Daphnia pulex: one gene and its partner. The protein of the gene in region 2 interacts with the protein of the main gene of each other region in a pairwise test. Links are inferred from orthologs where the notes say so. Each region holds a gene or a part of one and is shown on either strand. Other genes may lie near its edges. The genes, in order: E3 ubiquitin-protein ligase NEDD4-like and protein patched-like.

Region 1 (9,898 bases), on a different chromosome or scaffold from region 2:
TTACACCATATGCATTTTATAAACGGGCAAAAAAACATTTTATGATGTCGAATCCAACACCCGTTCCGGTAATTATCTAGTTCTACATCAAAGCACTTTTTTTAATCAACAAATTTGGGAGGAGTCGAAAGAAAATGGAGCGAGTGCCATTACGTATTGAGTAAATAGCTCTCATGTATTGAATTTGGGAAGGTTTTTGTTTTCACTGACACACAAAGGAGGAAAGGGATGTTATTGCTGCAAAAAAATAAATGGTAAAACTTTTTTTTGGGCAAAAAAAAAAAAAAATCGTTGGATTTAAAGAGACAAATAATTTTTTTTTCGTTGACCGGGAAAGAAGTTATTTTAAAAAAAAAGAAAAAAAAATTAATAATTAAAGAAGAGGGTATAGACTGTATAATAATATGTATCACACTGTGTAGAATAGTCGCGACAAACGAGAAAAAATTGTAACACAAAACACGCAGGCAATTGTCGGGATTAAATCGACGCGACGGGGAAAAGAATAGATGATGTTATGGTGTTGGTTAATAATATTGCAACGATTTTACCGAATATGGGTCGAATGGGAAGTAGAAAAACGCAATGAAATTGCTTCCACCTTCATCTACACTTTCCTCAAGTGATGCAAGAAATGGCAAAAGTCGAACCCCCCGAAATCAAACTCCATCAGCACCCTGTTCATGACAAATGATCCAGGCCATGTCGGAGTAACAAATGTTTTCCATAGTTTAAAAGTAAGAGTTAAAGAGAAAGATAGAGAGAAATATACCAACTGTACACTACCCAAGGAAGGGGAGAAAAAGGGAAGGTAAATAAAGAGAGTACACGGCGTCTCCATAGGCATCGTGAACAAAGAGGATCGTTTTCGAGGCATAAGACAGAAATCGATTATACGACACGCACCGTTGGTGGAATGAATGATCTTACACAACTTACAGTGGTAGGGAAAGAGAATAAGAATGATAAGAAAGAAGAGAAATCTCTACAGGAAAAACACACGCAAACAAGAAATCTTTTTTTTTTAAAGATTATCGGCACGTTTAATCTACGCCGGCGAAGCCCTCAGATCCTTCGATGGCTTTGATCAGTTTATCTCTTAGCTGTTGGTAACTCTCGTAAGGTGGCAAGTCCAAACGATTGAAACTATTGACAACAGGAAAACAGAATCCATCGTCAAAAATCTTGCACGGTCTTTCGTTTCGCAAAGGAATGAAAAATGCAACTTACCAAGTGTGAGCACGGGGGAAGTTATTTGGCGTGCCCCATTTCTCGATGGTAAACGGCTGTGGGCCATTGCTGCCGTACAGCTCTTTGAATCCATTCATGGGAACACGTGATGTCCCCGTAACAAACTGCAAGACTCGAGAACGCATTTCGGGATTGAACGATAAAACCACCTAAAAAAAGGAGAAATATTCGAATTGAGGTTTCGACGATGTCGATAAAACAACTTCAAGAAAAGACGAGACTTACCCTCCAAAACCATTGCACTACCATGTGGTTGGCATTGTAATCCCCCTTGTAATTGGTGTGTTCTCTCCAATCTTTGACATCAATGGTACCAATACCACACATCAATAATTCGAGCTCATTTTCATCGAAGATCTTGAGCATCGACAAAGGAATCAAGTCCTTGAAACCGTCGAGGAAGGCACGCATCTGAGCTTCAACGCGGGACACGAACCTCCATTGGATCACCAAACTAGAGAGCAAAACATTGGTAGATCATCGCTGGAACAAATAATTTAACTTAAATAAACTTACTTGATGTATTCATGTTTATTGTCATTGGTGACAGGAATGTTGGTCCCGTTAGGCTTCAGCTCGCGCTGGATTGTTTTGCCAAAGCTTTCTTCGTCGACAGCAAAATTTAAATCCAACTCGCTTGGATCGTTCTCTTTGATCCAAACAAGAGAGTTGAAGTACTCAGTATCGACAGACTCCATATCTTTCAGTTCGATGGGCTTTTCCAACATCATTTTATAAAATGGGCGAATGAAAAAGCCGTCAAGCAATTTGCCGTGATAAACTGCCATGCCAGCAACTCGACCGATGAATTTGAAATAAGACAGATGGTCTTCGGTACACAATCCAGACATTGGGTTGATTTGCAGCGTGTAATTGTCCCTGTAGGCAAAAGTAAATGAATAAGTTGAAGTTGCAAGCAATTTAAATTGGAGACTTACATAGCAGAATATTCAAACAGGCCGTAGTATGGGTTGAACATTTCTTTAGAGAGAAGAAAGAACCATTCACGAGCAACACCGCCGTAATCGAGTCCGACTTCACCGTCAAATTCTACCCAAAGTTTCGTCTTGAGCAGCTCCGGTCGGGCGACAGTGTTGATAATTCGATACGAATCTTCCAGTATAGAGGCTCGATGAACTTTAATTTCAAACTTGTTTGGAATGTTGGCCTGTAACAAGCGGAAAAAACAAAAAAACAATTAAACCTAAGAACGCAATCAACAATAGATTGTAGGCATTTAATATATTACTGGTTTCTTAAGTTGCGACTTGAAGAAGTCGTACTTCCTTTTATAGTCACGTGAGTAAGGAACAGCCGGTCCAGCAATATTAGGGTTCGACATACGGGGGTCTTCCCATTGGGTAATTCGTGTATCTGCATGTCAAGAATGCATTAAGCGTCAGCTGTACGAGTACCACCTGACGGAAAATGCCAACTTACTATGATCAATGTAGAAGATTCTGCCATCATTATGGATTCTTTCTTCCCATCCTTCCGGAAGAGGTCCCAGCGCTTCATCTTGGAAGTTTTTGTTTCCAGGGCTCCTGAACAAACAGATAATAGAATTATTGAAATGACCTTCATTTTTGGCTTTGTTTTTGTTTGAGAAGCCCAACAAAAAGAATACGAACTGGCTCTGCCGCGGAAGTGTCGATGGTCTCCCTGATCTTGGGTCCACCCAAGTTGTAGCCCGCTTGTTATGATCGATAAAAAATAGACGTCCATTTGGAGCAACTTGCACTGTCCAACCTAGATGTTTCCAAACGAGAAGTTTGCAGCTGTACACGTACGAGGAAATGAATGATTCACGTACCTTGTGGTAGTCCTTCACTGCTAGGAACAACTACAGGTCTTGGTGGGGTTGGAGACGTACTATTTGCAACCTGTTCTCCGCCGTCAATAGACTAAAATTTGAGGGTAAAGATATGGGTTAAAAATCACGCCATGAGGAAGGTCAGCATCGAAAAAGGAAATCAGGTTTTATTCTAATTACCGTTACGGAGTGACGAGGTGACGCTGGACTAGGTCTTGGACTGCCATTAATTTGTACATCTCTTAACTACAAATTTCGAATAAAACAAGAGGAGGTAAGCACAAATTCGGTTAAGCTGACTGTAAGTTTAGCATAGTCTACTAGCTCGATATTCTACATCGAATATTTCTAGCTTTTCTTACAACTGTAACAACGCGCAGAGGCAGGCTAATCAAACCTGTTCATCGCCCTCTGCAGTATCATCCCAATAATCATCGTATTCATCATCAAATTCGTCCCCGTCATCATAATAATCATCAAGTTCTTCATCGTCATATTCATCCTCCTCAAATAATATCGATTTTCCCGAAACAGCATGCAGAAGAAAGTGGCAAAATTCGTGAGTAGATATAAACATAACCGGGAGACCCAATAAAAACGAGATCAACTCTACCTGATCAGCAATACCAGCGGCTGCATCTAGTCCAGCTTGAAGCGGATGGGCATCGTCCGATATGTGATAGCGTCGTTGCATATCCGATCCAGCAGTTTCAAGGTTACGTTCACGTGCCAACTGCTGTTCCTGAATCACAGCTTTAACGGAAAGGAAAATTCGTGATAATACTCATAAAATAACAAGCCTTCCAGACTGCTCATTTACCTGGCTGGATGGACGGTCTCTCCCACTGGGTGGTGCGAGCAATATGATTAACGTAATAGGTTCGACCGTTAGCATCTTGACGTTCCTCCCAACCAGAAGGCAAAGGGACAGACTGGGCCGTTGCATTGGCGACGTCTGGAGCGGAAGAACTTCCCTGAACGTAAACGGGCTGGAATAAAAATCAGTATATTAGTATGCGAGAATATAAATGTAAATATTTTAACTATTTTAATCAGATTTACTCTAGCTGGCTGTTCTACTTGTGCCTGTCCAGCACTATTAACACCATCTGTCGTATCAACCATTTCCCAACCAGGTTCGGGATCCTGAGTTTGAGGCTCGGTTGCAGCGACAGAATCATTGGCTACTGTAATCTCCGAAACTTCATTTGGATCAGGGATGTATGCATGATATAGTTGCAGATGTCCTTTGACCTTGGAACGCGCACTGTTTTAAGATAAAGGACATAAACATTAAGCATGAAAGCAAAAATAAGAAACAGCAATTGCAATCTATTAGCATAAAATAGCATGTACCTTCGTGGCCGAAGAATGTAATATTTCCTGGGTATACTTGTATCTGGTAGTTCCTTTGGAAGTCCAACCAAAGGAAGTTCTACCATTCCCAGAAAGTCATCTCGGGTCAAGCGATTTTCATCAAACACTTCCATCACTAGCTTATGTTCTGAAGGTTTGACCCGGAATATGAATTCTTCATCCCATTTTGGATTTAAGGTCTGTGAAGTAAATGATTAAAGTTAGAAACAAACTACTGGCAGCACTGTGATGTTGCAACATACCCTTTTCTTGGTTCGTGTCAACACTGAATCAATCACTTGTTCTCCATTATTTGCCACCAAATCAATTCTCACATAAGGATCACTAAATTTAGGAAGAAAAGTGAGGACATGAGTAATACAACAAACACCACACTTTGTTATTACCTTGCTCCAAATATGTCTTTCTTGCAAAGGTTATGCCCAGCAATCACACGTAAACGAAGTAAACTTGTAAGCTCAGGCTAAAAGAATAAATATCAAATCATGTACAGACTTACAAACAGAAATTTGCCTTCCTTTCAAACAAAAAAAAGTAAACAAAATCTGATTTTGACCAGATTTGTCCGGGTTTAAGGTTTCATATTTCGGTATTTAGACACGTAGTACGTACCATTGCGTTATTGAGCCCATAGACACGACTTTCGGCCATGCAAACTTTTGAATTTTCCTTGACTTGATGCGATAAAAAATGAGTATTGACTCTGCAGATTTTCAAGGTTTAAAATTGAACAAACTAATTGAAAATGAAGTTTTTCACGCCCCAGCCCCAGCGTACAACACAACCAGAGAGCAGACAACTTGTATAGTTGTAGGCAACGAAAGTCGACTCGAGAACTGATGAATATCAGCTGATGGAGAATTTCGTCAGTCACGTGACCCATCGATGTGAGTTTGTGACAATGCTCTCTACTAAATGCGCTCTTGAAAAAAACGAAACATCGCACATGCTTGAACTCAATTTATTTCTTTGTTCGAAAGTGGTCGGCTGTAGATAATACGTTACCGTTTACAAAAAATTGAAATGAGGGGCGTGATTATATAGAGAAATCTGCCCTACAATAAACACATTCAAAGCAACCTACCGTCACCGCGACAGGACTGCCTATATGTGGATTATAATATTAATGACGTATGTGCCCATCAATAGATGACTGTGATTTTCGAAGCCTTTTGTCTAAGCACATAATTTTACATAATAGAAACGTTGTAATGAATACAATTCAAAATGATTGGGGGAAAATACCGTCGAAAAACACATCATGGAGGAAATTTGTCAAAGGTTTTCAAAAATAACCTAGATGACAACGAATTAACTATGTGAAGGCTTTTTGAAATGAAAATACATGGAGAAGCCCCACATAGTCGCGTAAAAAAGAGAAAAGCGAGTAAAAGGTGACAACACAACGAGAGCAGAATCAATACATCGAACAGTCAAACGAGATCTTCTAGACTGAAGTAGCTGATTTCTTCTACTAGATTCTGCTTTAGGTAGATACTTGATTCTGCTAAAGAATAAGTACACATAATCAATTGGAGCCCAGATGGGCAATCGACGCGGCAGAAGAAGAGGAGGAAGTGCTCAAAGTCCCAGGTTGGGCGTGACTTGAACTGCTCGTGCAGCTGCTTGTGTCTGAGCAATCGAGGGCAAGTTGTAGGCTGAAACGTTGAATGGCAACTTCGGCTGGAGAACGTTCTCTCGGCAAGTTCAAACTATTCCTCCATTGAGCAGAAGGAAGTTCGTCGTCGTCTTCTATAAACAAAGCATTCCAATTCAACAGCTGTGTAAATTAAACATTTCTCAACTAACATTACCCCTGACTGAGGAGGCCCCTCCTTCTATCTCATTCATAGCTGGAGTTGAAATACAAGCAAGAACTTCTGCGTAACTAGGAGGAGGTGTTCCCGCGTCCAAAAAATCGCTAGAATCCAAAGTATCGTTGCTCCGTCGTAACATCAACGTGTGACTCATAGGTGTTTCGACTAAATCATTCGACGGAGCGGATGGAACAACTAAAAGACCTGCAACATAAATATAATGCATTAAATTTGTTGAAATACGAAATAAAAACTTCTGTTTTTACTTGTGGTTTCGCGGCTGTTTTCACTTTCTTCGATAACTAGACGATTGGATGGATTTTCAGAATAGGGCGGTGGGTTATCCGTGACGGACGAATTAGGTAGCTTCCACATCATGTAAATTGAAGATTGATTTTCTCCAAGATTCATTAAGGGTTGAGGTTGTCTGTGCACATAACATACAACATCATTAGCCGAAATTGATTACTCCGATAATGTAACTTTACGCTACCTGCTGAGATGTCCAGTACTACTCGTCAGATCTCCATGATCAAAACTCGCTATACTACTTGAGGGAATTGTATCTCCTTCCAATTCATGACAAGCTGTTGAATAAAATGTAAAAGAATAAAATTGTAGTAAGAGATATTCAATAACATTGATATAAATGCATATTGATTCAGCATTACCTGAATGATTCCGCACACGACGTCTCTTTAACCGATAAAAGAGGAAGGCTAAAAGAGCCAGTGAGAGTACAGCAGTGACTGCTGTTGCTATTAAACGTAAACCCAAATCCCCCCCAACCCAGTTCTCATCACCCCACGTAACATCGATGGAACCTTCATCATTCCCTCCTTCAGTGTTGTCCAAGCAAATGAATTCACAGCAAGAACTTCCAATTCTGAAGGATTTGCAATCCTGTGAATGAATTTGATCAAAATTAACATTTGCTTGACTTTTAAAAATCTTTTGTTGTTATAATGTACCTTGGGAGCAGCACACAAGACCGCTTGGCACCATTTTGGCTTTCCTCCATCACAAAGACAGACTGTACAGGAATCTGGGCCTGGAACATAGTGATTCCCACCAGTGATGGTCCTTCCATTAATATCTTGGCAGCTCTCTCCAAAAACACCGATTTCATCTTCTTGGGAACTATCAGGGGTGGCAACAAGGAACCTTTCACCAGGCATTCTAAAATAGTTGTGTGTGAATATTGATTAGAACCACTTTACACGACTTTCCCCTATGAATTAATTGGCTGCGTTGTTTACCTGGCAGTCACGTCACGCCAAGTCACGAAAGGAATGGGAGCGGAAAAATGTTCCTGTTATGTCAATTTATCCAGGTTTTCAAATACCAGGTCGCCTCGAGAACTTGACTTTGAAAAGACAAGAGATAGTAACAAGCCATATAGAGTATAAAACCACCCTATCTTGTTCTACAAAAAGCTGCGCGAAAAAAACTGAAAACTTATTTTAGGCAGTGATAAATAACACTTTGCTATCAACACTTTATCATGGAGGTATATTCCTGATAAACACACGAGTACGCGTTCAGCTCAAAAATGACACTCTTTACAGAAAAATGTAGTACTAAAAACAATCGACTGACGCGCCACCTAACGTCGAAACCAGCACAACAGATGCTAGATGGAGTACAGCAGGAAGTCGTGGGTTTGAGGAGGGAATGCCTTTTCTTTCTGAGTTAAAGTCATCAAAACCCTTTTTTTGGTATGAAGATGGAATGCCAAAGGCAATAAACAAGTTTTTACAGATGTATTAATTCAAACCTATCCAGAAAAAATGCTATTCAAGTACTAAGGAAAAAATCTTCTTTGTCTTATACTCCAAATTTACTACGTCCGGTAGTTGAGCGGATCGATGTTCTCGGTTCTAATTAATTATAGTGCTCAAAACAAAGTAATTTTCTACTAGATTTGTTTGTTTTTGTAGGCATCTTAAATTCTGTTTCGTTTTATGACGCATAGCTGTTGGTATTTGAAGGATATAGGTTGGGTAGCTTACACAGCACTTCTTTATTCAAACTGAAACTTGGTTTCCGTGAATCTATTTAGGTCGGAGCCGTTGAGGTGCGTGCAGAGCTTGGCAAAATTTTATGGCCATGCAGCAGATGTAAACAGACCATTTTCAGCAGAGTCTACATATATTTATTCTCCACCACGCAACCTTTAAAGGAAGCCGATCTGTATGGAAACCTTATCCCTTTTCAGTGACCAGTGGGAGTATTGTATTTGGAGACTCGTATTTCTTCACGCCTTAAAATGTAAACAAATTAAAATAAATACAAAGGATTAACCCTTTATCTCTAGCTATACGAAGTTTATTGGAAACGGATATAGTATAATAACGTTAACTACACAACATTTGACGCTCTTCAAATCTCCGCGCCTCTCTAACAGAACACAACACGTCCGATAGAAGAGACAGCGACCGCATTTCTCTAGAAACGGGATAAATATAACAATACAATCATAGTGTTTATAATAATGATCAAGTAATAGGTTGGTTTAAAATATTCAAAGTTAACCGGAACGAGATTCATGCAAACTTAATATGTAACACATCTAAATCTTCACTTTCTTTTCGTAAATGGACGAGTGGTCGACTAATGCGACATCGGCATCGGATTTGTTCATCGATATGCCTGAAACATAGAATATTGTTTAGCATACATTTCCAATCATTATTGTGAGATGTGCAAAACAAGCACTTTGATTTTTCAATCTTATTAATTACCTGTTGCCATCTTACGGTTCTTTCTGTGAAGGTAGTAAACAAATACACCAATCATGAGTAGGGAGAGTAAGCAGAACCCACAAATGACTGGAAAAAAATTATCATATTAATCAATTTACAAATCCATGAATATATCATTTGCATGTTAAACTAACCTTCAACAACTCTATCCATGCAAATAAACTCACAGCATGATTTCCCTGTTGTATAAAACAAACAATCCTGTACAAAACAAAGAGTATGATGACCAATCCTTCATTAATTCAGAAGTTAGAAAAAAAGGTGATTTATCATTACCTCTGAAGCTGCACAGCGAACAGCTTGACACCAAAGGTTCTTTCCATGTTCACAAAGACACAAAACGCAAGGGTCCGAACCGGGAATGTAAGTGCTTCCTGTATTGTTACAATAACATATTACATGTAGGACTTGAAAATAATCACTACAAGTTGCGATGCGCAACAAACAGCAGGGATGACATTTGTGTGTGGTTTAACAAAGATGACAGTTGGTACCTGAAGGGATAGTAACGTTTTGGAAGTCTAGGCAGTGATCGTCTACATGATTTGAGTTTTTATGTCCGTCCATCACTGTAATCATTCTGTAAATCCGACTTTTTAGTTGTGGTAATTTAACAAACAGTCAAGGGAGACAACAATAACCTCCATTTTGTTTTGCTTGTTCCTCAAATGCCATCTAGTTGCGTGAATCCGTGTTACGCGCGATCCCGGTTGAACGTGCAGCTACCAACCAACAAATCGGAACTCTATATGGTTTAATAGCCCTACTGGCCTACTGCGCATATTCACGGTCTAGACTGGGTGTGGGTATCCTCTGCAGCTTGCACCAACGGTCAATGGGCCAGGGACGTTTATATATTTACATTCAATGAAAAC
Region 2 (9,963 bases):
TTTTTCCTTTTTTTCTTTTTCTTCAATAGAAAAAGAAGACGATGGATGGATGGAAGGAAAAAAAGAAAGAAACAACAACAACAAAATACTTCAAAAAGAACCGGTTATTGTGTTTTGTTTGCGAGCCAAAAGTAGACTGGAAACTCATTCAGTCGGCGCCGGAGAGAGGCCACCCAGGCGACGGCCGATGGGGCCCCCAGATTAGAAAAATCAAACAAAAATGAAAAAAAAAAAAAGAAAAAGAGAGAAACTCTCTCTCTTCCAAATTCTTCCACCAAGTGTTGTGTGTGTGTGTGTGTGTATGTACATAAATATATACACACACACACACAGGCGCATTTATGTCTATACACAAAATTAACAACAAAAAAAGGAAGATGGCGGCGCTGGCCAGAAAAAGAAGAAAGAAAGAAACACTTACGTATCGAACATTTCGACGGTGACTTTGGTGGCGGCTTGGACGGCCCGCAGGTGGGCCAGCAGCGCGTCGCGGCTGAGTAAGGAGCCGCCTTGGCCGTTACTCGGCGTCTGGATGAGGATCTGATGGGTCGAGCCGGCTCCTTCGCCCAGCGTCCGTCTCATGTAGGCCAACTCCTTCTCCAAACGGCCACCCTCTGTGCAGGATCAACACATTTTTCAGAGAAAAAGAATAAAATAAAATAACTCCATTAGTTCAAGGGCACACACAAAACCCTCCTCTTTCTTCTTCATCTTCTCCCGACCGACCGACCGACCAACCGACCGATAGAGCCATCAACTCGGCCGCCATTAAGCCCTCGACTCTCTTAACGATATACCTCCACTCTTGAAAAGCCCCTCGAGATAATCACAGGTTAAGAGAGAGACTCGCAGGCATTTCTCCAGCGTATAGACAACAACAACAACATCTCACAATGTTTCAGGAGAAACGCCGACCGAATACGCAATTGCCCACCTCAAAGTTTGTCTTCTTCTTTTTCCCTTGGCTCGGAGTTTTTTTTTTTTCATCGGAATCACGCGGGATTTTCTCTCGCGTCCCACCCAGAATGTTTTCTTTCAGTCCAAAAAGAAGAAGAAGAAAAAATAAAGAAGAATTCAGAGTGTTCAAGTGGTCAAGTTGAACAACCTCTTTTCCCGAACGGCTCTGCGGCGCCGTTTTTAATGAGCTTCCTGTAAATAATGTTTTTTTTTTTTTCTTTTTCTTTTTTTCAAAAAGAGAGGTTGCTCATATTTTAAACACCCGAGTTTGTCTAGCCAATCTAACGTTTACGCTTTTACCGATTGCCAGGCGAAAAGAAAGAAGAAAAAGACGGGGCTGTATTTTCTTTTTTGGCCGAAATCGTATGGGCCATAGCTCTAGGACCGGTTTTTGAATAAATACATAGACATTCTCTCCTTCTATTGCTTCTCTTTGACTCGTCGAGTGAAGACATCACGGCCAACAAGTCAATTAAAACGATACGCTTATAAAACAGCAGCCTTCAGAGTTGGGACTCTCTCTCTCTCGCTATGGGTGGCCGATTGCTGGACCCTTAGGGACCTTTAAGGCTTCTCCAATGCAAATTCCATTCTCGGCTGTCTTGGCTATCCAAAACAACCGACCGACCGAAAATGACCGAAACACCAAAACGGAACGCTCGAGAGACAAAAAGAAGTTTTGTTTCTTTTGGGGAGAAAATCAGATCCAACTGATTTTCCAGAGTGACGTGATGGATTCACAATCCACCAGCCAACACGTACACACACACATATATATCTATCTCTCTTTACTCTATTCCATTTCGATTCTCTCTGCCATCAATGGCCAACCCGACCAAAATAACAAAAAAAAAAAAAAACTTCTTTTTTCTCTTCCCGTTGTGTGTGTGTGTAGAGGGGGCGACGTGCAGTGCATGTGTTGCGTGTCTCACTGGGTGGCCGAACGCGCTCAACCGGCCCCGAAGAGAAAAGGAAAAAAGAATGAAGAAGAATAAAAAAGGAATAGAGAGAGAGTATATAGCATCCGCATGAGTCTTCCCCGCGAGCAAAGTAAACGCAAAGAAGAAAACTCGGATGAAAGCAGAAGAGAGAGAGAGAGAGACTAAGAAACGAACTGAAAAAAAAAACTGTATTTTTCTTACCAGCCAAAGAAGAAGGAAAGAAAAAACGACCGAAAGAGGGTTCTATGTGTGTGTGTGTGTGAGGGAAACTACTACCAGCCGGTCTCTCTTGTCTTGTCGAAGAACCCAGAAGCAGGGCTGACCTTGATGTTTTGGGTAGGAAGAAGAACAAGAAGACGGCATTCCTTTTTAAAAAAACTGATCTAAACGTATTGTGTGTCGACGATATCTCTACTCTCTCTACTGTACTGGGCACTATAAAGTGCCTATTATGCGCACCACCCCCTGATCGCTGGATTTCCAAAATTCAAATGGGGAGACGCAATCGTCGGAAGTGATGGAATAATAGAGAGAAAAAAAGAAGATGGAGGTCAGAAAAGAATAAGGAAAAGAATAGGAGAGAGAGAAAAAATCTTTTCCTATTGTAACGAGTTTGACGGGTCAATTGAGAAAAGGGACGACCGATAGCCTCTCTTCTCGCTCTACAAGAGTAACACACACGCACAAATGAAAAGAAGAAGAAAAGTTTTCAGGTACGCTGGCTGGATACAATGGACCAAAGAAGAAAGGGGGGAAGGAAAAGAAAGAGAAGAAGAAGTAAAAAAAAAAAAAAAAACATTCTTTTCTAGCTCGTAAATTCTCTCTCCACCCCGCTGTCTTTTCTTCCTCTTGTGCCCAACTTTGGGTGTGCTGTACCTTCGTTCCCTTCCGTTGGGTGGTCCAAACAAGAATTTTATAACTTCTCTCTCTCCAATGTTGTTTCTTTTTTTCTTCCTCGGGTGACAATTTGGCCGTACGTCATCATCAGCCAAAAATAAGAGAAGAAGAAAAAACCTGCGTGATCAGGTATGTTCTTCACAAAAGGCCGCCAAAAGAACCTAGCAGCTGTTTTTTAATTTTTACTTTGGAAAATAACTTTTCTTCTTCAAGGGGTGGAAGGGGGGTGTCTGATTTCGGAGAGGGGGGAAACGACAGGACCATATGGAACCCCCCGAACAACAACTACATTTTCCTTTTTTTTTTTTTTTGACAGAAGGATGAAAAATTTCCCATGTGAACATGTGTGCAGGTTTGGCTTGGCAAATAACACGATTCTCTTGTGAGAAGGGGGGGGGGGAAATACCGCGACCTGCAGAGAGTTCATTAAAGATACGGTCCAGGGGAATCAAATCCAGCTGGAGGCTGCCGCCCTAATGAAGACATGTTCTCTCCCCTGGCCATCTAGAATGGATAGAGACCTCGTCTTGCTGTTGATTGTTGGGTAGGTGCTAAACATTCCAGAGGAGAAATAACAAAAAGAAGAAGAAGAAGAGGGGTTCTATAGTAAATAGCGGACCTGGTAATGGCCACCAATCGTGAAAGAGAATCATCCGATGCGGGCGGATTTGGGGCAAAGGGGAACATAAAACACCCTCTCTCTCTCTCAAACAAGGGCCGTCTATTTTCGGGTGTTCCAGCCAAGTTCTTTTTCCGGTCTCTCTCTCTGTGTATGTGTTGGCAATGCCGGAGAAAAAGAAGAAGCGGATGGAGAGCCCAACAACGCATCAATGGATGAGGAGGGGGAGATCCTATTTTGAAGGGATCAAAAGTGTTGTATTACCTTCGACCCAGAGTTTCTCGACGTCCGTTTGAATGCTGGCGGATTTGAGGCCGACGCAGAAGGTGGACAGGACGAGGAGTCCAACGAAAAGGACTTTGCCCGCGTGCCGTTGGACGAATCGGCCCAGGTGGAAGAGATGCCACTGAAGTTTCGTCCTTAACCACAGCGCCGCTTTGTTGCCTGATGCTTTACCCTATTGGAAAAATAAATAAATAAAAGAAAATAGAGACGTCAGAAACGAACAAAAATAAAAATCTATGAGATTCCGGAATGTTTTTATATCCTTCCAGCGCAGCCCCCTTGAATCAGTTGGGCAGCAGCGAATGGTTGTGGAAAGGAGGAAAAACAAGTTAAAAAAGGAGAGGTAAAGGAAAGAGAGTGGCTGATGGGTTTTTGTGTTGGGGCCTACGCCCTTGAGCGATGGCTTGGCCTCAACTGTTTCTCTTTCTCTCTCTTGGTTGGTAGTACACAGTCGGTTGTTGCAGCAGGGGCCCCCGTTGTTGTTGATGTCTTCATTCCGTCGGGCGATGCCAGAGCCCCCTATATACCGACGGTCTATACCATCCACCCGAAAATATACACCTCACCTTGGCATAGCCACCACAGACTTTTTCTCTGTGTTTTTTTCGTACTTACACGCAGCATAAATTATCTTATGCAATTGTTTATTCACAAGAAGAAGAAGAAGATGTTTTATAAAGACGCACCTTTTTGATTTGATGAAGGGCGAGCCGGGCATCTGTCCAGCTCGTCCTGGTCAACAAGTCGGAATCGACGCTGCTGCTGGTGCAGAGTGCCGCGTAAGCGTCTTGAGGTGTCAGTGAAGAAGTTTTCGAGCATCCGCCATTCGATTTCTCCATTGCGGCGTGCGAGTGCATCGTTATGGCCATGACACTACTACAGCGCCGTTCGTGATGATTCGTTTTCGTCTGCAAGCAATTCCTCGTCTCCCGACACGTCGGGCGATTTCAACGGAAACACACTCGGCGGCTGCGGCACTGAACAACAACAACAACAACAACAACTTTGACGATGATGATCACCAGCAGCGGTCGCAACCGACCAGCAGCCTAACATGGCCTCGTTTCATGACGGGCTAAACAACACACAACCATGGGGCGAAATTTCGTGACACACCGAACAAATTTCTAGGGGGAGGAAAATAGAAAAGAAATGGCTGATTCTAACGGCACAACAACACACTGTGGAAGAAATTGTTAGGGGACGAACACCATCCGTCGTCGTCGTCTTTTTGGTTAATCCGTGTTGGTGATAGAAACCAGAAAATGTCGTCGTTCTTTCGAGTTTCTTTTGGTTGGGGACTTGAAAATTCTTGTTTCGTTCACACACTAAATTTCTTCAAATTCACACACACTTTGGAAGAAAAAAATATAGATATTTCACACTCGGTTTGTGTGTGTGTGTTTCAGAGAAAGAGACACACGACTCTTCTTGTAGCTTCCTGCTTGTCGACTGAAAACTCGAGGAGAGATGGCCGCTAGCTTAGTACACGCACGCCCCGCTAGACCTCCTCCCCCCCCCCCCCGCTACCACCACCCAGTGTCCCTCCTTCTTTTTCGAGTTTGGCTGGGGATACCCGCAGGCTAAGGAAATTTTTCGGGTCGCCCGCCCACCGCGTCAACCACCACGTGGCGGATCGACAAACTACAGCGCGCCATTTTCTTCTTTTTCAAGTATATTTTTTTTAAAAAGGAAAATTTCGTTTTGAAATGTTGGAAAAGATGCGATTAATAGTTATAAACGGAGGAATGACTTTTGGTCTAATCGGCTCAGCAATCGTTCAATGTGTAATTGAATATTCGGGACAGAGTTCTCCAAGTGGGGAAATTTGAAACCCAAGACTTTGAAAAATGGCAGCAGCAGCGGATCCGACTCGGATTCCATTCATTGGACCTTCGTTTTTCTATTTCTTTTTTAAAAAGTTCCATCCACCATCTAAAAGAGACAAAACATTTTCCCAGTGAAAGGGGGCGCGAGTGTGTATAGCGTACACACTGTAGTTCGGACTTGTGGGGGTGGTCTTAGCCGTTGCCTGGGCAACACGCAGAACACCAAACCCACGGGCAATACACAAAAGCCCTGGACCCCACACGACGGCCAAGAACCCCAAAAACCTTTTTTTCTTCTTCTTCTTCTTGTATATATACACACACACATGCACAACTTCCTCTTTTTAATTCCAACAACTTTGCTCACGTAGACGAAAAAATTTCTACCACACACACACACACACATCATTTCTTTAGAGAAAAAGTCAAATGTTGGTGGAGATTTATTTCGATCACGACGAACCAACGAACCAACCGTTTTCCAATGTTTTTCGTCTGCACAGCCCAACTTGTGTGCTGCACTGCATCCCTGAGAAAAGAAGTCATTATTTTAATGACTCTATTCTCTTGTCAGTTTCTCGTGCCCGCGTTCTTTTACGGTTATAGTCACACAGGTAAAAAAGAAAGAAAGAAAGAAGAGTTTTTTATTTTAAAAAAGAAAAGATGGTGTGGAAGAAAAGAAAGAAAAAAGAGAGTGGCGCTGTTAGTGTAATCTGGTGGCGGATGTGCCTGGGCAATTACGGCCCAGGCCAAAACTTTAATTGCCAACGAACTTTGACCATGTTTTTTTCTTTTTTTTTACTTGTTGCACACAGCACAACTCTCTTTCTCACTCGAGAGTTATATACACACATACACTGTGTGTCTACTCGAGATTTGTCAACAATCAAACACACAGAACAGAACCGTGTGTGTACAAAAAAGAAAATGTCGGGGAACAAAAAAAAAAAAGAATTGGCAATGGCTGCCATAAGAGAAAGAAGAAAGAAAGAAAAAAGACAACTTCTTTTACTTACGGGAGAGTTCTTTTTTTAAAAGAAGTGCGTCTGTGTGGTTTTGTGAAGTCTCCGAGTCGTTTTCATGTTGGGTGGTCCTCTCTCTCTCTCTCTTTCCATGTACACCATCACTCTTTTCTATTGGGAAAGGTTTTTCTCTCTCTTGTACCAAAAGAAAAAAGCTGTCGGCCATCTTAGATTGTTTTTATTTCATCAAACTCTATAATAAAATTCTCTCCTTTTTTATTTTACTCGAGTATAAAAATCCAATCGATCGCTTGACTGATTGAAGAACACAAAACCCCCTGGAAAATTGTTCGTTCTTCTTTTGTTTTCCAGCGTTGCATTACGCTCTCAATTTTCGTAGAGTAGAAAGAATTGAACTGGAAAAAATGTGAACCCACCACTACACGATTCATGGCTTGTGTTTTATTTTTATTATTATTTCGGAAAGAAGAGTCCCCCCTTGTAAAATAGGAAGAAAAAAAGGAAATAAATAAGATAAGATGGTCGATGGAGATATGGAGTCTGACAGGTTGGTTGAAGAAGAAGAGTTGGGAGAGGGGGGAATCTTTACACAGGTAAATGTTGTATGGCGGGAGGGTTGAAGAAGAAGAAGAAGAAAAAAAAAACCTTTTTCTTCTTCAAGATTCTTTTCTTTTCCCTTGAAACTGTACACACAATAGATCTCATTGCCTCAGATCGCCGCCGCCGCTCGAACGATGCCGACGCCGAGAATAATTTATCGTTTCTCTTTTATTTTCTTACCCCCGGATCTTCTGCTCTTTTCTTACGCACAAATGGGGCCGATCTATAGAGAGAAGAGAGCCATACCTTTAGAGAATCTCTCATTCTTTATATATATACCTTAATAACATCCATTAAGTCAAAAGGGGGCCTCTCGTCTAACTTTTTGGGGTCCCGGGTGAATGTTCCATTGTCCGAGACTATAAGAAGAGATTTTTCTTGAAACCTTAAACTCCCTTTTATTGCGTGTCCGCTTAGACTGGGGTTGAATCCGAGTCATTGTTGCGCCAAAAAAAAAAATAAAATCCTTAACAGGCCACGTAATCTATCGTGACCGACCGTTTATAAGGAAAAAGAGCGCGGCATCGGCCATTTAGTTTTGTCATCCATCAATCGTCTCACCGGTCCCTATACATAACACACGTCGACATTTGCGAAACTCTTTTTTCGTTCTTCGTTTTTTTTTAAATTCTTCTTCTTTCCCGTCTTCAAGTTTCTTTATTGGCCGGCGATCTCTGATCGACCCGAGTTATTTTCTTCTTCTTATCTATCCATGAACCAGTCGGGTTTGTTGTTATTCGTCGACTTGGGTGGTCTCTGACTTCTGTTGCTCCTGGCAGCCAGCAGCAGCGCTCCTTTGGCTCCTCGAGCTTCGTCTACACTATTATTCGAATAGTTTCACCGTCGTCCCAAAAAAGAAAGAAGAAGAAAGAAAGAAAACAAGAAAGAAGATACACTATCAAAAAGTCTCTCCGGCTCCGGAGCATCTGATTCTCTTTGGGGTGTTGGGGGTCTCCTCCCGGACAAGACAAACACACAAACAAAACTCACGGGCGCACCTCTCAGTATCTTCTTTTTTCTTCTTCTTTGGCCGACCCCACACGGCACTTGTTTTCTTCTTCTATCCGTTGGCGAGCAGCTCAATCCGATAAAAGAAACAATCAAGGCGCACACCATCAGACGGAGGAATAACACCGTCAGATGGCGCATTCCTCTCATGCACCATCAAATGCACCAACACACACAGGATGTGTGTGTGTGCCATCAAGGTGTATAGTTGTCGGTTATGTAAGCAGGAAAAAGAATCAAACGAATGTAGTATACACACACAGGCGGTTACAAAGTGATTGCGTAAACCCTATGGCGGATGTGCGCATTTTATTTTTTCGCCCAACTCTTATTCATTTTTTCGGTCGTAAGAAACTAACCAACAAATTCCTGAGCTGGCCGAAAATGGTCCCCATCTTTTATAGAACCAGCTATACTATGCAATGTCTCAATATAAATAACTATATAAGATTTTATGTTGTTTTTCTAACCCCCCCGTTCCAAAAGGCAATAAGAGACGGAAAGGTCGTCTTTTACAGTCCAGGGCCTAGAGACACTGTGTGTGTGCGGATTTTCTTTATTTTTTGATGGGCCCTGCTGGCTGGATGGGTGGCGTTGGACATAAAAAGACGGACCCCCAAAAAAGTTAAGATCTTCTTTTTCGGCCGTTATTAAGGGGGGAAGCGAAAAGGAAAGGAGGAGTTTGGTCTTGTTGTTTCTTCTTCTTCTTCTTCTTCTTTCTCGAGTTGCAGAGTTGACACCTTGATGCGTTGATGAACCTTGTTTTTACTACCATCAGCAGGACCCTCTCCATTTCCCTCTTCCTCTGGGGGTTCTTCTTCTGAGCCACCCTGTGGTGGTGGTGTCCATCACCCTCTATCTGTTTCAGAAAGAAAAAATAAAAAAAAGTTTAGAAAGAAGAGCCTAATTCTTTTGGCCTCTGTCGCCCAAATAACCCCGTCTCTCCCTGCCTGATGGCATCCATGTCTCTATATACACACACATGCACACACACCCGTGGTATATATACACACGCACAACTTGGGTGGTCTTCTCCCTTTCACGCTCATTGATACAATGCACAGACTGGAGGAGAAGAAGAAAAAAAGAACTTTCTTAACTTTGGATGTCCGCCCGTTTGGCGCGACTCTCGGGAGTAAATAAATCATTTCCCATCCAAAAAGAAAAAGGAAAAAAAGTTCTTTTTTCCATTGTAATACGTTCATCTCTTTTGTAGACGACATAATTGCCTTATTCGGGATGAGCCCGACTTTCATCTTCTACAACAACCATCGCGTGGGATATTTTTTGTTCTGAAATTTTCTCCTCCACCCTTCCAGGAAGATGAGCGATAAGCCACACGGAGAACAACAACAACAACAACCATATAGTTCTCTCTGTGTGTGTGTGTCTGTATGTTATATCGTGCGCCATCTCCTCCATTTTGGTCGCCAGTTGGGAACAGAAAAGCGCGGCCTTCTTGGGTGGTCCTCTTCAACTGTGGCTGGATTCAATCAGGGCGCAATATTAACTTCTTCTTCTTCTTCTCCGTTTCCTCCCGCCTTGGCAGCGTGTCGAATGCCACCAGCAGCCAACCAACCAAACGAAAGATATACACACACACACACAGCCAGCAACTCTTGACTGCTGGAGTCATTCGTCTCTTTTTCAAGACCCTTCAGCTGGCCGAGAGAAATCCAGCAGGGGCTGTGTTGTATCCGGGTACGACATGCTGCAATTACATATTTATAAATTTACGCAATATGTGCTGCTGCTGTTGGGTCTGTCTGTTATATTTCAAAACTTTTGAATTGTAGCGGCTGCTAATAGAGAGCGGCGGCTAGAACATTATCAAACAAAAGGCC

Evidence for each region.
Region 1: the proteins of protein patched-like (region 2) and E3 ubiquitin-protein ligase NEDD4-like interact in a two-hybrid assay, tested with the Drosophila melanogaster proteins (2 studies listed by BioGRID). The link is inferred for Daphnia pulex from reciprocal best matches to the Drosophila melanogaster genes ptc and Nedd4.

Annotation. Positions count from the first base shown.
Region 1 is NC_060022.1:1,838,289-1,848,186, reverse strand, and holds E3 ubiquitin-protein ligase NEDD4-like, read right to left. Parts: upstream 5,356-9,898; 5' UTR 5,093-5,355; coding exon 5,054-5,092; intron 4,905-5,053; coding exon 4,828-4,904; intron 4,766-4,827; coding exon 4,684-4,765; intron 4,621-4,683; coding exon 4,421-4,620; intron 4,332-4,420; coding exon 4,127-4,331; intron 4,054-4,126; coding exon 3,885-4,053; intron 3,818-3,884; coding exon 3,678-3,817; intron 3,311-3,677; coding exon 3,245-3,310; intron 3,156-3,244; coding exon 3,065-3,155; intron 3,001-3,064; coding exon 2,883-3,000; intron 2,796-2,882; coding exon 2,692-2,795; intron 2,626-2,691; coding exon 2,501-2,625; intron 2,420-2,500; coding exon 2,190-2,419; intron 2,131-2,189; coding exon 1,768-2,130; intron 1,706-1,767; coding exon 1,477-1,705; intron 1,401-1,476; coding exon 1,231-1,400; intron 1,147-1,230; coding exon 1,044-1,146; 3' UTR 389-1,043; downstream 1-388. Other genes in the region: integral membrane protein DGCR2/IDD-like, read right to left, coding at 5,970-6,193, 6,256-6,462, 6,525-6,685, 6,752-6,845, 6,930-7,161, 7,230-7,436; integral membrane protein DGCR2/IDD-like, read right to left, coding at 8,831-8,910, 9,003-9,089, 9,158-9,224, 9,300-9,397, 9,518-9,602. UniProt on the Drosophila melanogaster protein: Essential E3 ubiquitin-protein ligase which accepts ubiquitin from an E2 ubiquitin-conjugating enzyme in the form of a thioester and then directly transfers the ubiquitin to targeted substrates.
Region 2 is NC_060018.1:5,077,724-5,087,686, reverse strand, and holds the start of protein patched-like, read right to left. Parts: upstream 5,168-9,963; 5' UTR 4,569-5,167; coding exon 4,386-4,568; intron 3,872-4,385; coding exon 3,679-3,871; intron 615-3,678; coding exon 422-614; intron 1-421. UniProt on the Drosophila melanogaster protein: Segmentation polarity protein. Acts as a receptor for the hedgehog protein (hh). Associates with the smoothened protein (SMO) to transduce the hedgehog signal leading to the activation of wingless, decapentaplegic and patched itself.